Saccharomyces cerevisiae S288C: one gene and its partners. The protein of the gene in region 1 interacts with the protein of each later gene in a biochemical or structural test. Each region holds a gene or a part of one and is shown on either strand. Other genes may lie near its edges. The genes, in order: ECO1, SMC3, MCD1 and SWE1.

The links.
Region 2: of the proteins of ECO1 (region 1) and SMC3, one has a biochemical effect on the other in vitro, tested with the Saccharomyces cerevisiae proteins (3 studies listed by BioGRID).
Region 3: of the proteins of ECO1 (region 1) and MCD1, one has a biochemical effect on the other in vitro, tested with the Saccharomyces cerevisiae proteins (3 studies listed by BioGRID).
Region 4: of the proteins of ECO1 (region 1) and SWE1, one has a biochemical effect on the other in vitro, tested with the Saccharomyces cerevisiae proteins (one study listed by BioGRID).

The regions. Positions count from the first base shown.
Region 1 is NC_001138.5:205,501-208,879, reverse strand, and holds ECO1 (Eco1p), read right to left. Parts: upstream 1,429-3,379; coding exon 583-1,428; downstream 1-582. Other genes in the region: phosphoprotein phosphatase CDC14, read left to right, coding at 1-467; ULI1 (Uli1p), read left to right, coding at 2,623-3,132. UniProt on the Saccharomyces cerevisiae protein: Required for establishment of sister chromatid cohesion during S phase but not for its further maintenance during G2 or M phases or for loading the cohesin complex onto DNA.
Region 2 is NC_001142.9:298,635-304,849, forward strand, and holds SMC3 (cohesin subunit SMC3), read right to left. Parts: upstream 4,216-6,215; coding exon 523-4,215; downstream 1-522. Other genes in the region: NET1 (Net1p), read left to right, coding at 1-180; APQ13 (Apq13p), read right to left, coding at 1-242; JEM1 (Jem1p), read left to right, coding at 4,547-6,215. UniProt on the Saccharomyces cerevisiae protein: Involved in chromosome cohesion during cell cycle and in DNA repair. Central component of cohesin complex. The cohesin complex is required for the cohesion of sister chromatids after DNA replication.
Region 3 is NC_001136.10:442,614-446,884, forward strand, and holds MCD1 (kleisin alpha), read left to right. Parts: upstream 1-2,069; coding exon 2,070-3,770; downstream 3,771-4,271. Other genes in the region: ATP16 (F1F0 ATP synthase subunit delta), read left to right, coding at 416-898. UniProt on the Saccharomyces cerevisiae protein: Cleavable component of the cohesin complex involved in chromosome cohesion during cell cycle. The cohesin complex is required for the cohesion of sister chromatids after DNA replication.
Region 4 is NC_001142.9:76,199-80,794, reverse strand, and holds SWE1 (tyrosine protein kinase SWE1), read left to right. Parts: upstream 1-1,532; coding exon 1,533-3,992; downstream 3,993-4,596. Other genes in the region: alpha-1,2-mannosyltransferase MNN5, read right to left, coding at 1-640; 60S ribosomal protein eL39 RPL39, read right to left, coding at 4,321-4,470. UniProt on the Saccharomyces cerevisiae protein: Protein kinase that acts as a negative regulator of entry into mitosis (G2 to M transition) by phosphorylating and inhibiting the mitosis-promoting cyclin B-bound CDC28 at 'Tyr-19'.

The DNA of each region.
Region 1 (3,379 bases):
ACGGTCATGGGGCGCTTAGTGCCAGAAATTCGAGCCAACCTTCTACGGCGAATAATGGAAGTAATTCATTCAAGAGCTCAGCCGTCCCACAGACTTCGCCTGGTCAGCCGAGAAAGGGCCAAAACGGTTCTAATACTATAGAAGATATCAACAATAATCGTAATCCAACTTCCCATGCGAATAGGAAGGTAGTAATAGAAAGCAACAACTCAGATGACGAATCCATGCAGGATACCAACGGCACAAGTAATCATTATCCCAAAGTTTCGCGCAAGAAAAATGATATCTCCTCTGCTTCATCGTCCCGAATGGAAGATAACGAACCCAGCGCAACGAACATCAATAATGCCGCAGATGATACCATACTAAGACAACTATTGCCCAAGAATAGGAGAGTAACGTCAGGGAGAAGGACTACAAGCGCCGCCGGTGGTATAAGAAAAATAAGTGGCTCCATCAAGAAATAATTTATTTCATTTTTATATATATATATATCATATAATAAAAAAACTTACTAATAATAACCTTGAAAAGTTTTATGCCATTTTTCCAGTGTCCCTTCTCGCTGTCTTTTCGAAAGAGTCATATGTATACCGGCAATAGTAACTTGCCTGATTTATGCATAATGCCGTTGTATTTGCTAGCCAGTTTTCCACCGCTGTCTGTGGGTTGCGACCATGCTACCTGGTACCTAGGAATAACTTCACCGTAAACAATATTTTCTCTTGCAACGTCAATCAATTTGGTTGCGATACCCAACTTCCTTGCTGTCCTGCACACCCAAATTCTCGATATGCCAATCTTAAAATCGGGGTACACATTCTGTACCAATCTTCTAGAATCATAAACCATCCAACGTCCACGACTAGATGTTTTACCATTGCCCCCATAAAGGTTCTCTATAATTATTATTCCGACCGCCCTGTCATTTCTTATGTATACAAACGCTTTGCCTTTTTCTTCTGTGGTACTGTTCCAAATGACATTCTCATCGTGTGGCGCATTCAGCTCGTTATTCACTAGTGTCATTATCTCCGTCATGGCTCGGACTTCACCATTCGACTTATCTGGTCTCACATATACAATCTTCTCCTCCTGATGGGTAATAGACGGACTACTTTTTTTCAAAGGTGAGGAGTTCAATGGCGTTATTGTCCCTGTCGATCTTGATAGATGCACCGTCCTTGAATGGTTTCGCTCTGTGTATACTATAGAACCCCAATTCGGCGACCATTTACGTCCATGCAGCTGTAAAGTGTGGTATTTCTCGTGGATGGCGCGATCTTCTATTGATGTCGAGGAATATGACATCTCACATTTATCACACTTGACTATTTTATTCGATTTCGAACCATTATTAACTTGCAATTTAGACTGGATAAGATTTGGTTTACTGCCCGCTTTTCTCTGCGATTTCCTAGCTTTCATTTTGTGCAACGATTTATATTCTGTTGAACCCTAATATGTAAACATAGATATATGTTGATGTCCGTTGTAGCTGGCATCTCCTTATGTATTATTACTGATTACAGTACGCGAAAGGCTTTTTTTCTATTACGCGTTGACGTTAAATTTCATTTGTTAAGATTCTTCCCTAAGTCGAAGGATGATCAAGGCGGCAGGAGGTTTCAACATGCCAACAATGGAAGTGGTTAAGAGACGTTTTCTGGTTTCTGGGCAGCTGTTACATAGAATCTCTGATTTACATGCTCAAGTATTCGCAAAGATCGGTATGATGGGAAAATAGGTGAATTTTGGGATAATGACTGAGATTATACCGTTGTTAATGCTATAATATTAATTATACAGAATATATTAGAAGTTCTCCTCGAGGATATGGGAACCCACAGAAGCGAATCGATGTTTCTACATAAAAGAAAAAAATAATCTCATTTTATCTTCGGTTTTGAATCTTTTCATTTTTTTTTCCTATTACATTATCAATTCTGGCATTTCAGTGTTTATAAAAAGATCAAATTGCTGTTTGAAACTCATTGCGCTAATTCCATAATTTTGCACCATGTATGCTCATGACTCCATATAGGACAACATACTGGTAGGAATATTATCAAGTGAACGATAACGGTTCTTCTCCCAACAAGAAGTAAGCCTGGTGAGTGTATTTTGAAGCTTTTTGGAGGGGCGGCCACGGAATAAGATATGAACACATACTGGCAATTGGGCTGAGATCTGATTACATTGTCGACAGATTCCCATGAAGGTGTTTGAGAGAATTTTGATTGAGTCGTTATACAAATTGCTGTGGACACGTACGCATAAAGTAGTTCGGGCAGCTATGTTTGCCACGTAGTAGCTACAATATTAAGCATAGCAGACTAAATGCAATTGGCTGTGTTGAAAGAAACTTCTGAACTGAGATTCAAGTAACGTGATTGTGTGCGCCATTTTACACAGGCTGCGCGGCAAATCAAAACCAAAGATACTTCTCCGGAGGTATACGTGTTGCATTTTCAACAGACTATACGAGTTTTTTCTGATCGTTGTATATTTAAGTGCAGCTTGGACTTACAAGCTCTATACTAGGATAATGATCTCATTGGATTCAAGAGAAAGAAACTCTATACTGGCGCCAAATTAGCAGTGTCAAATTTCGAAAAGGTGATGACGCCCTATGCAGTAGCAATTACCGTGGCCTTACTAATTGTAACAGTGAGCGCACTCCAGGTCAACAATTCATGTGTCGCTTTTCCGCCATCAAATCTCAGAGGCAAAAATGGAGACGGTACTAATGAACAGTATGCAACTGCACTACTTTCTATTCCCTGGAATGGACCTCCTGAGTCATTGAGGGATATTAATCTTATTGAACTCGAACCGCAAGTTGCACTCTATTTGCTCGAAAATTATATTAACCATTACTACAACACCACAAGAGACAATAAGTGCCCTAATAACCACTACCTAATGGGAGGGCAGTTGGGTAGCTCATCGGATAATAGGAGTTTGAACGATCCGCAAACGATGCTATGGCCGGAAAAGAAGGAAGACGAAAAAAACTGCCAAGAAACTTTTAAAGGGGCCTGTTCGTGTACCAAAAGGTTTTGCAAGGGTTATTTCTCTGTAAATATTTTTGGGATAAACCTGAATATATCTTATAGCTCTGGAAAGTGATTGACATGTCATTTTTTGGAAATTAGTTATAGATACATAGAATATACTAAAGAATTCTCCTTGAAGACCATGGTCACCGAAAATTTCACAGAATACTACAAACTATTCTCTTATTGATGTTTCTCCTTAACACCCAGGGTGCTTTAGCTACAATGAAGTTAATAGCAATATCTATATGGTTGCACTGGCCTCTAGCTGCGAATACGATAATACGAATGCGTAGGTAAATGATAATTATCATCTATCG
Region 2 (6,215 bases), on another chromosome or scaffold:
GACTCCGTATCGGATTCCAGTTCAGATTCTAAATCTGAGTCAGATTCTGATGACTCAGGGGATTCATCTGATGATGGAAAAAGTTTTATTAGTGCGAAATCCGCTAGTGCTGCTTTAGGTAAGAAGAAGAAGCCAAGTGGTGGATTTGCATCATTAATAAAAGATTTCAAGAAAAAATGATACCAGAAAGTCTCAGTAGAATACACGTCACAGAAAGCTAGTAAAAAAAAATAATCAAGCATATAAAAGTATTAATATATTAAAAAATCTTCATGTAAACCAATTCTTATTTACCTCTTTTCCCAGCAAGCGGGCAACTTCTTTAAGAAAAGTAATCTTTTTTGTACGTCGAATTATCAAAGCTTGGTTACTATATTTAACATTATTGTTTAGTAACAGTATCATCTTAAAAGAAAATTTTTTAAAATTCCAATATAGGAGACAATGGTAATAATTACATACAAATAGCTATTTATGTAAGCAAAACTGATATTTTTATATACAAATCGTTTCAAATATCTCTTAGACTTCAGCGAATTTATTGCTACCTCTAATGAATCCGATTGCTTCTTCTCTATTGACCTCAATAACCGTGGAAATCTTATTCTCGTACTTAACACGGAAAAATTTGTCTGCAACTTGCAACATATCTGTTCTGAACGTCGTACAAATAAACTGGGCATTTTTTGACAGTTCTTTTAGAAGTGTAGCGACTGCAGTTCTATACTGCTTGTCGAGTGCAGCATCAATTTCATCAAACAGATAGAAGGAAGCAGGGTCAACCATTTGGATTGCCAGAATCAAAGCAATGGCACATACAGTCTTCTGACCACCTGAGAGCTGTTCAACATGCAGTTGTTCGTTTTGTTTAGAATTGAAGGAAACAGAAATTGAAACACCTGTATACATAATTTCACTATCTTTACCGTTTTGGCTTTCATTGGATTCTGCATCCATGTCAACATCAATACTTTCATCATGGTCGTTAGCGTTATCATTCTTACGGTGAATAATCAACTTAGCAGTACCTCTGGGAACTAATCTTTCAAAAACAGCTTCAAAGTTTTCAGAAACCTTTTGGAAAGTAGAATCAACCGCGTTAACCTTTTGTTGTTTTAACTTAACAATTAGATCTTGAATTGAGTCTTTAGATTCATCCAGCTCTGAAGCTCTCTCCGCAAGGTCTTTGCGTCTTTCGTTAAACTTTTTGAAGTTTTCAAAAGCTCTCTTGTTTACATTCTTCAAACCAGAAATCTCTGTGTTCATATCATTCAGTCTTTGTAATAGCTGATCACTTGTGATGTCGCTAAAATCATTTACTAAAGCATCCTCTGGCAGAAGCCCAATTTCCCTAATCCTTTGCTGTAATTCTTCTCTTCTAGTAACCAAAGTTGTTTTCTTAATCATCGTTTTTTCAACACTTTTTTGGAAATTGTCAAGCTTCTTTAATAGTAATCGCTGTTGATTGTTTGCTTTTTCTAGCAGTTTCTTATTATTAGTTTCTTCAGCAATGAGACTTTCAATTTCTCTTTGAACGGTACCTAGTTCCAACACAGCGTTTTCATGCTGCTTTTCAACGCTTTCCTTCTCCAATTGTAATTCTTTCAACTCATCTTGTAGACCAAAAATAAATGCGTCACCTACTTCTGACATCTTGGATTCTAGATCATTTTCTTGTGGGATAAGTTTGGACTCCAATTCGGCATTCAACGAGTCAATGGTTGTAGTTATACCTTCTAGGGCGTCTGATGTAATATTTAGCTTATTGTGCGCTGCACTAATCTCCTTTGTTAAAGATTCTAATCTTTCCTTTTCTTCTTTTGAGAGTTCGCTATCAAACTCCTGAAGCAAATCATTTTCGAATGTATTTAGCTTTTCCTGAGCAAATGTACGATTTGTATTCAGCTTTTCTAGTTTTAGTATAATTGCGTTTAATGATTCTTCGAGAATTAATTTTTCATTCTTTTTGGTGTTTAGCGATGTTCTATATACCTCGATATTTGTTAAGACAGACTCCCTGTCATTAGAAACCTTTCTTATATTCCCGTTTACTTGATCAATCTTAGTATCAATATCATTTAGTTCATTTCTTACGAAATCTAATTCTTCCAGTATTTTTTTGTGTTGACTTCTTGATTCATTTAAGTTTTTCAATGATTCCAAACGTGTTCGTTTGTGCTGGTCAAGATACCCACCTGTAAGTACACCTCTTTTGTCTGCTCTATCACCATCTAAAGTGATGGCATTGAGTTTGTGTTTCTTAGCTAATTTTAAACCTTGACCTAAGTCTTTGACAACAATAGTTTTTCCAAAAACGTGTTTGACAGCCTTCTCAAACCTGGGTTCATATTTTATCTTCTTTATCAAGGGAGTAAACTGGATTTGTGTAGTAGTGTTTGAGGGGAATTTAACATCACTGTCCAAAGATAACCTGTTCAAGGGAATAAACGTCACTCTCCCACCCTTCATACGATATAGTTCGTTCATAATCAAAGTGGCCGTTTCTTCGGTATCCACGACAATGTGGAAGAGGGAGTTACCTCCAATTACTTCAGCACATGTCTTGTACTTATCATTGACTTTAATCAGTTCACCTAATGTCCCAAAGACAGATTCCGGTGATATTTTTAGTTTTTCTGTAATTTCTTTCACATTTATTATACCATTTGCCAATGATCTACTCATGGTTTCATTAACATTTCTTTGATTTTGATTGACGTCACTTAATAAAGTTTCCAAGACTGTCTGTAATTTTTGCTCCTTTCTCCACAATTCCTTACGAGTGTCTAAACTTTCACTCAGCTTCTGTTTGAGGTGTATTAATTCCGAATCAAAATCTTCTAATTGACCCTTGGTATCTGGTCCATTGATAGAATCAATTAGCTCTTCAATCTCTTCATCAATCGCAGAGTACTGCTTCCTTAAAGAAGTACGATCCATTTGCAATTGACTTTCCAGTTCATTTAAGTTTTGTATTGAAGATTTCAGTTCTTCAATTTCTGAATGAATCCACGTATCGCGTTCATCCTTTGATTTAAAACGGGCATATTCTCCTTTCTTTAAGATAAGATCTCTCTGCTTTTGTTGCAAGGAGGCCAATTGAAGTTTGTACATTGCTTCTTCCTTTGTGAGTTCTTGATATCTAGGTAAAATTTTAGACAACTTTTGTTTCCTTTGCTCAATTATAGATTTGATCTCTTTCAAAGTTGCACTATCCAAATTTCTCTGCTCCTCATTTGACTCAATTTGCTGTTGAACATCCTTTATTTTTACGTTGACGTTTGTTAATTTCTGAGAAATCTCAGATTCCCGTAGTTTTGCCTGTTGTAAATCAGTCGCATTTTTGATCTTCAGTGAAGCTTCAATACTTGATAGCTTTTTGGAGACTTGGTCAATCATATCCTCTCTTTTATCCAACTCCTGGATGTATTGTTCGGAAGAGTATACCGTGTTATTATAATCACCGTCCAGTCTTTCCATTTGATTGATAACCTCATTTAATTCTCGATCATACAATGTGAACTGGTAGATCTTTCTGTTGCGTTCCAACTCGTTGTATTTCTCTAATTCCTTACGTTCCTGTTCCATTTCACTCAATTTAGAGTTTAGTTCACCCATTTCCTTGTTAATTTGAATCTTTTTCTGCTCTGTTTCCTCCATTTTTTTCAATGAAGCTTTCAATTTTACTTCAAATGACTTAGCTCCTACAACATCTTCCAATAACTGCAATCTTTCCTTATCCTTGGCATTAGTTAAGGCGACTATTTTACCTTGTGGTACTATATTATACGGATTATTCATTGAAAAACCAGCGGTTTCCAACATTCTGACTATGTCCCCTTTGGTCACGTTTCTGTCATTTAATTGATAGTCATCCTTCTTCAGCCCTACTGTTCTTCTAATGGTCACTTCGTCATCTCCTCTCGAAAGTACACCGGAGGGCAATATCATAGAATGATCTGGATCGTGGAACACAATTTCTACCGAGGCACTCATCACTGAACCACCAGAACCTTGGTGGATAAGCCCTTGCCTTTCTTCCCTCTTAAGATTAGAGTAATCGTCACTAAGAACAAATCTAATCGCAGCGAAGAAATTCGATTTACCTGAACCATTGGAGCCAATAATAACATTCTGATGCGGCGAGAAATTATCAATAATGGTTTCGTTCCTGTAGGTTTTAAAACCCTTAATTATCACCCTTTTGATATACATTGCAGACGTGAACTATTACCGTTACTCCAGCAGGTCGTCTTGTAAAAAAATGGTGAAACTGTTTAAAGATGAGGTTGAAAACTCATCTTTAATTAGTTTAATCATTTCCTAACGCGTCGCGTCTTTTCCTATTCCTGAGACTTTTTTTCTTTAGGTTCCTAATAGTGAAATGTGACAGGTGTACACTTCGATGGCAGGCAAAAATAGAGCCAAAACTGCTTATAAGTTATTCCAAGTGAAAGGAGTTGGTTGCGAGAAGGGCCCAGAAGGTTTCATTCATTGTTGGTTTAGTGTATTACTAAGGCCGATCTTAACGTCTACGAAACGAAGTATGATACTGATCTCGGGATACTGTCTTTTAGTGTATAGCGTTATTTTGCCAGTACTGATATCGGCTTCTAAGTTATGTGATTTGGCTGAGTTACAACGATTGAACAAGAATTTAAAAGTAGACACTGAATCCTTGCCAAAATACCAATGGATCGCTGGGCAGTTGGAACAAAACTGCATGACTGCGGATCCAGCAAGTGAAAATATGTCAGACGTAATTCAACTAGCCAATCAAATATACTACAAAATTGGGCTGATCCAATTATCCAACGATCAACATCTAAGAGCTATTAACACATTTGAAAAAATCGTTTTTAATGAAACTTACAAAGGTTCTTTTGGGAAGCTGGCGGAAAAGAGGCTACAAGAGCTGTATGTCGATTTTGGGATGTGGGACAAGGTGCATCAGAAGGATGATCAGTATGCGAAATATCTGTCCTTGAATGAAACCATCAGAAACAAAATATCATCCAAAGACGTTTCTGTGGAGGAAGATATTTCTGAGCTGCTACGCATAACGCCGTACGATGTTAACGTCCTCTCCACGCACATCGATGTTCTTTTTCACAAACTAGCTGAAGAAATTGACGTTTCGTTAGCTGCTGCTATCATTTTGGATTACGAAACAATCCTCGACAAGCATTTGGCTAGCTTAAGCATAGATACAAGACTTTCGATTCATTATGTCATATCTGTTTTACAGACCTTTGTACTTAACTCAGATGCGTCGTTCAATATAAGAAAATGCCTTTCCATTGATATGGACTATGATAAATGTAAAAAACTAAGCCTGACTATTTCCAAATTGAACAAGGTGAATCCATCAAAAAGACAGATCCTGGATCCAGCAACATATGCATTTGAGAACAAAAAGTTTAGAAGTTGGGATAGAATTATTGAATTTTATTTGAAGGATAAGAAGCCATTTATTACACCAATGAAAATTCTTAACAAAGATACAAACTTTAAAAACAACTACTTCTTTTTAGAGGAAATTATCAAACAATTGATAGAAGACGTTCAACTGTCGAGACCTTTGGCAAAAAATTTATTCGAAGATCCCCCAATAACCGATGGTTTTGTCAAACCAAAATCATACTATCATACCGATTATCTAGTATACATTGATTCCATTCTTTGTCAGGCTTCTAGCATGAGTCCGGACGTCAAGAGAGCTAAACTGGCTGCGCCGTTCTGTAAAAAGAGTTTGAGGCATTCACTAACACTAGAAACATGGAAACACTATCAGGATGCTAAGTCCGAGCAAAAACCTTTACCTGAGACGGTATTGAGTGATGTATGGAATTCCAATCCTCATTTGCTGATGTATATGGTAAACTCAATACTTAATAAAAGTAGGTCTAAACCTCATTCACAGTTCAAAAAGCAATTATATGACCAGATAAACAAATTTTTCCAAGATAACGGCCTCTCAGAGTCGACCAATCCATACGTGATGAAGAACTTCCGATTATTACAGAAACAATTACAAACCTATAAAGAGCATAAACATCGGAATTTCAACCAGCAATATTTCCAACAACAACAACAGCAGCAACAACACCAACGACATCAAGCACCCCCAGCAGCGCCTAACTACGACCCAAAAAAGGACTATTATAAAATTCTTGGAGTATCGCCTAGTGCTAGTTCGAAAGAAATAAGGAAAG
Region 3 (4,271 bases), on another chromosome or scaffold:
TTTACTTCTTACTATTACACGAAAGACAAGTGTGAAATGCCTAGGAGATTGATGATTGACAAGCTCTGGCCTTGCAATAAAAATACTTATACACAACTTCAAATAATATAGAAAAGAAAGAAGACTATAAGCTAAAAATGTAGACAACCTCATTTAAATATTATTCTTAGGACTTGGTAATAATAGCTAATTTGTATATTATTCACCTCGGTCACCGCCTGTAATCACCTTTAACGAAAATAGATGCCCAGCCAATCAAAGCGCATTATGGAGTCGTCTAGGAAGGGGCCGTCCCATCATTGTAAAAGTTCATGTTAAATTAGATGGAGGATAACAATAAAGGTATCGTACACACACTGCTAAAAGAGCCTCAATCAATTTGTGAAGGTATAACTGTAGCCGTGAGGATAGGAAAATGTTACGTTCAATTATTGGAAAGAGTGCATCAAGATCATTGAATTTCGTCGCTAAGCGTTCATATGCAGAAGCTGCTGCCGCATCATCAGGTTTGAAGTTACAATTTGCTCTACCACACGAAACTTTATATAGTGGCTCCGAAGTTACTCAAGTGAACCTGCCTGCTAAGTCAGGACGTATTGGTGTATTGGCCAACCATGTTCCCACCGTTGAACAATTACTACCAGGTGTCGTTGAAGTTATGGAAGGCTCTAACTCTAAAAAATTCTTTATATCAGGTGGATTTGCAACAGTTCAACCAGACTCGCAGTTATGTGTAACTGCAATTGAAGCTTTTCCATTGGAATCCTTTTCACAAGAAAATATAAAAAATTTGTTGGCAGAAGCTAAGAAGAACGTTAGTTCATCTGATGCCAGGGAAGCCGCAGAAGCTGCAATTCAAGTAGAAGTTTTAGAAAACCTACAATCCGTATTGAAATAGCGTTTTTATGGTACGCATTCTAGAACTTGAGGGGAAGAAGTCTACGTTTTTAAGTGTTGACAAGCAATTCGCTTGAAAGCGCCAAAATTCATTGTTTGTTCTACTCGAATTTAAGTTTCCATTTTGGTTGATGTCTTAAGTATACAGAGAAACCGTTTATTAGCGTATATATACAGAAAATTTTATTATTTTATATTCAAAAACAAGAAAACAAAAGAGAAAACATTAACATGTAATTTTCATAACTAATAGTCCTAGAAAGTAATACTTTTTACAACTGTTTCTTTAAATCCTGTATGAAAGCCCTAGTTGCAGATCATCGTGTTATTCCAGTGAGTTTTCACTTCCCTAAGTCCTTCCTATTTATGTTTTAGTCCTTCTTGCACAGCAATTTTACTTCGGGCACTGTTGCCGTATATTCTAAAAAAATGAAAAAAACGTTCATGCCCCAGCGAAAACCAGTGTTTCCTCGTATTCGTGTCAGTAATTACACCAAAGTTTGTTCTACACTAAATCACGAATAAAGTGGGAGATTGAGTTCAACAAAATATCTGATTATAAAAGTATGAGAACAAGAAAATTAAGGAGCCTCCATAATAAGGTGCTTTTAATTGAGAATGAATGTTCATTAGTTGCTATATTGATGGTGATGGAACTCCAATTACCTAATCAAAAATATGAATGTTTATGCGAATAAGAGTTTGTAAAGAAAAAGATCCCTGTAGACTGGATGTGAGATGATGATTTCATTCCCGGCCTCTTAAATAAAAACAATTACCACTGCAAAAATGTTCTTCAAACGCGTTTATTATATAATGAAAAAGAAATTCAAATTTTTCGCGTTTGAAAATTTATGCTAAACAAATAACTCGAGGAGGGACGCGTCGAGAAAATCGCGTCTTTCTACTCTCACAGTGCTTGCATACGTATGGTATACAGTATCAAAAGTAGCAGAATTTGTCTTCATTATGATATATATATATATATGTACATATATATAGGGTGCTAAAAAGTATTCTTTTTGCTATTATTATTGCTTAAATCGCCGACCTTTTTCCCATTGTCACGAGAACATAATTGTTAAACCAATAAAAGGAAAATCCATAACAAAAAAGGACTGGTCAAAGAAAAGACAACTCAATTGCACAATTACTTTACAAGAAACACGACAATGGTTACAGAAAATCCTCAACGTCTTACTGTTTTAAGACTTGCCACCAATAAGGGTCCATTAGCACAAATATGGCTTGCTTCAAATATGTCGAATATACCAAGAGGATCGGTTATCCAAACACATATTGCTGAATCAGCAAAGGAAATTGCAAAAGCTTCTGGCTGTGATGACGAATCAGGGGACAATGAATACATAACTTTACGAACATCTGGCGAATTACTTCAAGGCATTGTTCGTGTATATTCCAAACAGGCCACTTTTCTCCTTACAGATATAAAGGACACATTAACGAAGATAAGTATGTTATTTAAAACAAGCCAGAAGATGACTTCTACAGTAAACAGACTGAACACTGTAACAAGGGTTCATCAATTGATGTTAGAAGATGCCGTTACAGAAAGAGAAGTTTTGGTCACCCCAGGGTTAGAGTTCTTAGATGATACTACTATACCAGTGGGCTTAATGGCGCAGGAGAATTCGATGGAAAGAAAAGTCCAAGGTGCTGCTCCCTGGGATACTTCACTTGAGGTCGGTAGACGATTCAGTCCAGATGAAGATTTCGAACATAATAATTTGTCTAGTATGAACCTTGATTTTGACATCGAGGAAGGTCCGATAACTTCAAAATCTTGGGAAGAAGGAACAAGACAAAGCTCACGCAACTTTGATACGCACGAAAATTACATACAAGATGACGATTTCCCTCTTGATGATGCTGGAACTATTGGTTGGGATCTAGGGATTACCGAAAAAAATGACCAGAACAACGATGATGACGATAACTCTGTTGAGCAAGGAAGAAGGCTAGGTGAATCAATCATGTCTGAGGAGCCTACGGATTTTGGATTTGATCTGGATATAGAAAAAGAAGCACCCGCAGGCAATATAGATACGATAACCGATGCCATGACAGAATCACAGCCAAAACAAACTGGCACAAGAAGGAACTCAAAATTACTGAATACCAAAAGTATTCAAATCGATGAAGAAACAGAAAATTCAGAAAGCATAGCTTCATCCAATACATACAAAGAGGAGAGATCGAATAATTTATTGACTCCACAGCCCACCAATTTTACGACTAAAAGATTATGGAGTGAAATAACTGAAAGTATGTCCTATTTACCAGATCCAATCCTTAAGAACTTCTTATCCTACGAATCTCTAAAAAAAAGAAAAATACATAATGGGCGAGAAGGGTCAATTGAAGAACCTGAGTTAAACGTGTCGCTTAATCTTACCGACGATGTAATTAGTAATGCGGGAACAAACGATAACTCCTTCAATGAACTGACCGATAACATGTCAGACTTCGTACCAATTGATGCTGGCTTAAATGAGGCTCCTTTTCCTGAAGAGAATATCATCGACGCAAAGACTAGAAATGAGCAAACTACCATCCAAACTGAAAAAGTTCGTCCTACTCCCGGTGAGGTGGCTTCTAAAGCTATTGTTCAAATGGCGAAGATTTTAAGGAAGGAATTAAGCGAAGAAAAAGAAGTAATATTCACGGATGTACTAAAAAGTCAAGCAAATACAGAACCAGAAAATATTACTAAAAGAGAAGCCAGTAGAGGATTTTTCGATATTTTATCACTTGCTACAGAAGGATGTATTGGTTTGAGTCAAACAGAAGCATTCGGAAATATTAAAATAGACGCCAAACCTGCACTATTTGAAAGGTTTATCAATGCTTAAAACCTAGTTACGCCGAGGGGATTTCTTGGTGGACCCAATAAGCTGATGCATATATAGATCAAAGACTTTAATTTATAAAATTGTCAATATTTAATATTAATATTCACAAAATACGATAAAATTCAAACTAATGCGGTAGAGCCACTACTGGCCGCAAGGCAGAATGATCTTGGCAACTCTACACGCTGGTGCATGGGTAGTATTTATTCTAAAACTTGCTGTATTATTTTGAATAGTGATATTAGGAATCGTCTGCCCACGTACACCGGTGAAGCCGAAATTTTCTCATGGAAACCTTGGGAATAGAAGAAAGGTCCATTGTAAGTGCTACATACTGACCATCTTACATAATCTTACACAACCCTGGTAATAAAGCCACGTCTAGAAAGTTTTCCAGGCCAAACAATCTTCTTTTCCATTAGCTTTGGTACATTAGCAGCCAGAGGAAACATTATGCAGTTTTTAAAGGCTCAACTTTTTATCTAATATACAAAACAATAA
Region 4 (4,596 bases), on another chromosome or scaffold:
GAACGATATCTGAGAAATAAATGCACTTACCATTGAATTTCGGCAACCAGTTCTTACAAAAATCATCCTCGCCTTCGTCCTGAGGCGGAATGATGACTTCAATAGGCAATGTAGTACCCGTGTCCCTCAACTTTTTGATCATCGTATACGCGAGCACAGAATACTTTCCACCTCCAATGGTGACAATGCCCTCAGAACCTGAGAAAAGTGCCTCTCTTTGTGGGATGGAAAAATTCAGTTTCCCTGATAAGGTGTCTGTAAACTTACTGTGCACTTCTCGTAGGCTTTCTTGTACTGTTTTATTCAAATTATAGCATTTACTCAAGCTCTCGTAACTTAAGTCACTATCGTGTCCAGAGTCGTGTGCAGCAACGTTATTTGCAAAGCTACACCCTTCCGCCCCATGCAACTTACTCAAGTCCGGAGACGAATCTGCCGGCTTGTTTTCCACGATGGCTTGTACCAGTGTTGTGTAAAAATTGTTTTTAAGGTTCGACCTTGTTAGAACCGGCAATCTAAGCTTTTTACCGTATAACCAACTAGAAGACACATCATTATGCACAGAACAAAAAAATAAAATTAGCACTACTGCGCTCACGATGACCTGCAGGATTTTTCTCTTCTTTAACCTAATCAGCATTGTAACCTGAACTATTAGTATATCCTCTTGTTGTGCTAGGAACCAGTCGTAAAATAAAAATTTCCAATAACCGTGAAAATGCTTTTTTCATATCTGCGTATATATAAAACACTTTAAAGCCGTGTTGATCCTTTAGTTGTTACACTTTTTTTTCCCCGCCGATGAGAAAGTGAAAAAAAAAATCCGCAAGAACGGGGAAAAAGATAAAAGAAGGCACTTATCTCTCTGAACTCTGCACCGAAACATGCATCTGTCGTCTATTCCGACTTGGCAACCAAAAGAAGCCCAAGAGCTAGTTGCACTTAAATCAGTAGAATCGTGAGATTGTTTATTATCTTACTTCTGTTAGAGTGCTTCGCTTTCCATGCATCAAACTATGGATTTGTGCTGATCTTGCAACCATCGTCCTCTAAGGAAAGAAATGTGGCACCTTTAAATAGGTTCCACCTCACAGATGCCAACATGTGGGAGATAGGGGGCTATTCGCAATTTATTAACGTCTCTAGTACTGGTAAGCCTTTCTAACATTCTTGTGGTCACGTGATGTGTATGTTTCTTTTTTTTATTCCTCCGGGTGATAACGACGCGAAAAATATTTTTTCATTTTTCTTTTAACCATCACAATTTGCGACGCGACGCGAAAAAAATGCAGAGAAGTAAAAGAATGCTGGATAAGAAATCAACAACACAGTTGAACATTGGCGTGCCCCTGTGTATTAAGTAAAGGTTGTCCAAGAGGCTCTTTTTTGTATGTATGCGTGTGTTAACTATCCTGCACATCATCTTGCGCAGTTAGTCCAATAAAAAAAGGATTACTACTGAACAGGTCTTACTATTTTTGATTGCGTAGTGCTGGGGAAAAGTAAACACACACAGGCGCACACGAGAACAGATGAGTTCTTTGGACGAGGATGAAGAGGACTTCGAAATGCTGGACACGGAGAACCTCCAGTTTATGGGGAAGAAGATGTTTGGCAAACAGGCCGGCGAAGACGAGAGTGATGATTTTGCTATAGGGGGTAGCACCCCGACCAATAAACTGAAATTTTATCCATATTCGAACAACAAATTGACAAGAAGTACGGGGACCTTGAACCTGTCATTAAGTAATACAGCTTTGTCAGAGGCTAACTCCAAATTTCTTGGGAAAATTGAAGAAGAGGAAGAAGAGGAGGAAGAAGGCAAGGATGAGGAAAGCGTGGATTCTCGTATTAAAAGGTGGTCTCCGTTCCATGAAAATGAAAGTGTTACTACTCCTATTACAAAAAGATCTGCGGAAAAAACGAACAGTCCTATTTCTCTCAAACAATGGAACCAGCGATGGTTTCCGAAAAATGATGCTCGCACTGAAAATACATCCTCATCCTCTTCATATAGCGTCGCTAAACCTAACCAATCAGCCTTTACGTCTTCGGGCCTCGTATCTAAAATGTCTATGGACACTTCGTTATACCCTGCGAAATTGAGGATACCAGAAACACCAGTGAAAAAATCACCCTTAGTGGAGGGAAGAGACCATAAGCATGTCCACCTTTCGAGTTCGAAAAATGCATCGTCTTCTCTAAGTGTTTCCCCTTTAAATTTTGTTGAAGACAATAATTTACAAGAAGACCTTTTATTTTCAGATTCTCCGTCTTCGAAAGCTTTACCTTCCATCCATGTACCAACCATAGACTCATCCCCACTGAGCGAGGCAAAATATCATGCACATGATCGTCACAATAACCAGACAAACATCCTGTCTCCCACTAATAGCTTGGTTACCAACAGCTCTCCACAAACATTGCATTCTAACAAGTTCAAAAAAATCAAAAGAGCAAGGAATTCGGTTATTTTGAAAAATAGAGAGCTAACAAACAGTTTACAACAATTCAAAGATGATTTATACGGCACGGACGAGAATTTCCCACCTCCAATCATAATATCAAGTCATCATTCAACTAGAAAGAACCCTCAACCTTATCAATTTCGTGGACGCTATGACAATGACACTGACGAAGAGATCTCCACTCCAACAAGACGAAAATCTATTATTGGGGCAACATCTCAAACACATAGAGAAAGCAGACCATTGTCACTCTCCTCTGCCATCGTGACAAACACAACAAGTGCAGAGACGCATTCCATATCTTCCACCGATTCTTCGCCGTTAAATTCCAAAAGGCGTCTAATCTCTTCAAATAAGTTATCAGCAAATCCAGATTCCCATCTTTTCGAAAAATTTACGAATGTGCATTCCATTGGTAAAGGCCAGTTTTCCACGGTCTACCAGGTTACGTTTGCCCAAACAAACAAAAAGTATGCAATCAAAGCCATTAAACCAAACAAATATAATTCCTTGAAACGCATATTACTGGAAATTAAAATACTAAACGAGGTAACAAACCAAATTACAATGGATCAAGAAGGGAAGGAATACATCATCGATTACATCAGTTCCTGGAAGTTTCAAAATTCATACTATATTATGACAGAATTGTGCGAAAATGGTAATTTGGATGGATTTTTACAAGAGCAAGTTATCGCAAAGAAAAAAAGGTTGGAAGATTGGAGAATTTGGAAAATCATCGTGGAATTAAGCCTGGCTTTACGATTCATCCATGATTCTTGTCACATTGTGCATCTGGACTTGAAACCCGCAAACGTCATGATCACATTTGAAGGTAACCTAAAACTAGGTGACTTTGGAATGGCTACTCATTTACCGTTGGAGGATAAAAGTTTTGAAAATGAAGGTGACAGAGAATATATTGCACCAGAAATCATTTCTGATTGTACGTACGATTACAAGGCAGATATTTTTTCCCTGGGTCTGATGATTGTTGAAATTGCAGCGAACGTTGTGTTACCTGACAATGGCAACGCATGGCATAAGTTGAGATCGGGTGATTTATCGGATGCAGGAAGATTAAGTTCCACAGATATTCATTCTGAATCATTATTTTCAGACATTACGAAAGTAGATACAAATGATTTATTTGATTTTGAAAGAGACAATATCAGTGGTAATAGTAACAACGCTGGCACCTCCACTGTTCATAACAATAGTAATATCAACAACCCTAATATGAATAATGGCAACGATAATAATAATGTCAATACTGCCGCTACCAAGAATCGTCTTATTTTGCATAAAAGTTCTAAAATTCCCGCATGGGTACCGAAATTTCTTATTGATGGTGAATCACTTGAGAGAATAGTACGATGGATGATAGAGCCCAATTATGAGAGAAGGCCCACGGCAAATCAAATCTTACAAACTGAGGAATGCCTGTATGTAGAAATGACACGCAATGCAGGTGCTATTATCCAGGAAGACGACTTTGGACCTAAGCCAAAATTTTTTATATGATAAATGGAACAAAAAACCTTGTTTTATTTACATACTTTTTTCCCACACGTGCTTATGGGCCGCATTGTATAAATAATCCAATAACGAAAAAGAGTGTAATTGCAGTCCGGTAGTAATACCATGTAAAACCTTAGATGAGTTTATTTTAAGTACAGCCGCTTCAAGCATTTTTATTTTTATTTTACAGATGTAGCAGATAACAACCGTTAAATTATATTATATATATATATATATATATATCAAATACGACGTATTACATATATATTGAGAATAAGGGAAGGATGGAAGACAAATGACAAAAAGTTTGAAGCATAAATATGTTCTTCGCTTAGATGTTCATCTTGGTTCTTCTCCAGTTTCTTCTCTTAGCGTTGTAACGGATAGTGTTGTTGGTTCTCAATCTGATCCATTGTGGCAATGGTCTGTTTTGCTTCTTAGCCTTAGCCATTTTTTGCTTGATTCTGAAAGACTTTTGAGCCTAATTAAAAGGGAAACATATCGTGCACATACGAAGTGTACAATTGTAAAAAATGTTAGTAACAATGTTCAAACTCATCAATGTGATGCATTCACGGATCCAAGGCAATACCACCTGACATAAACC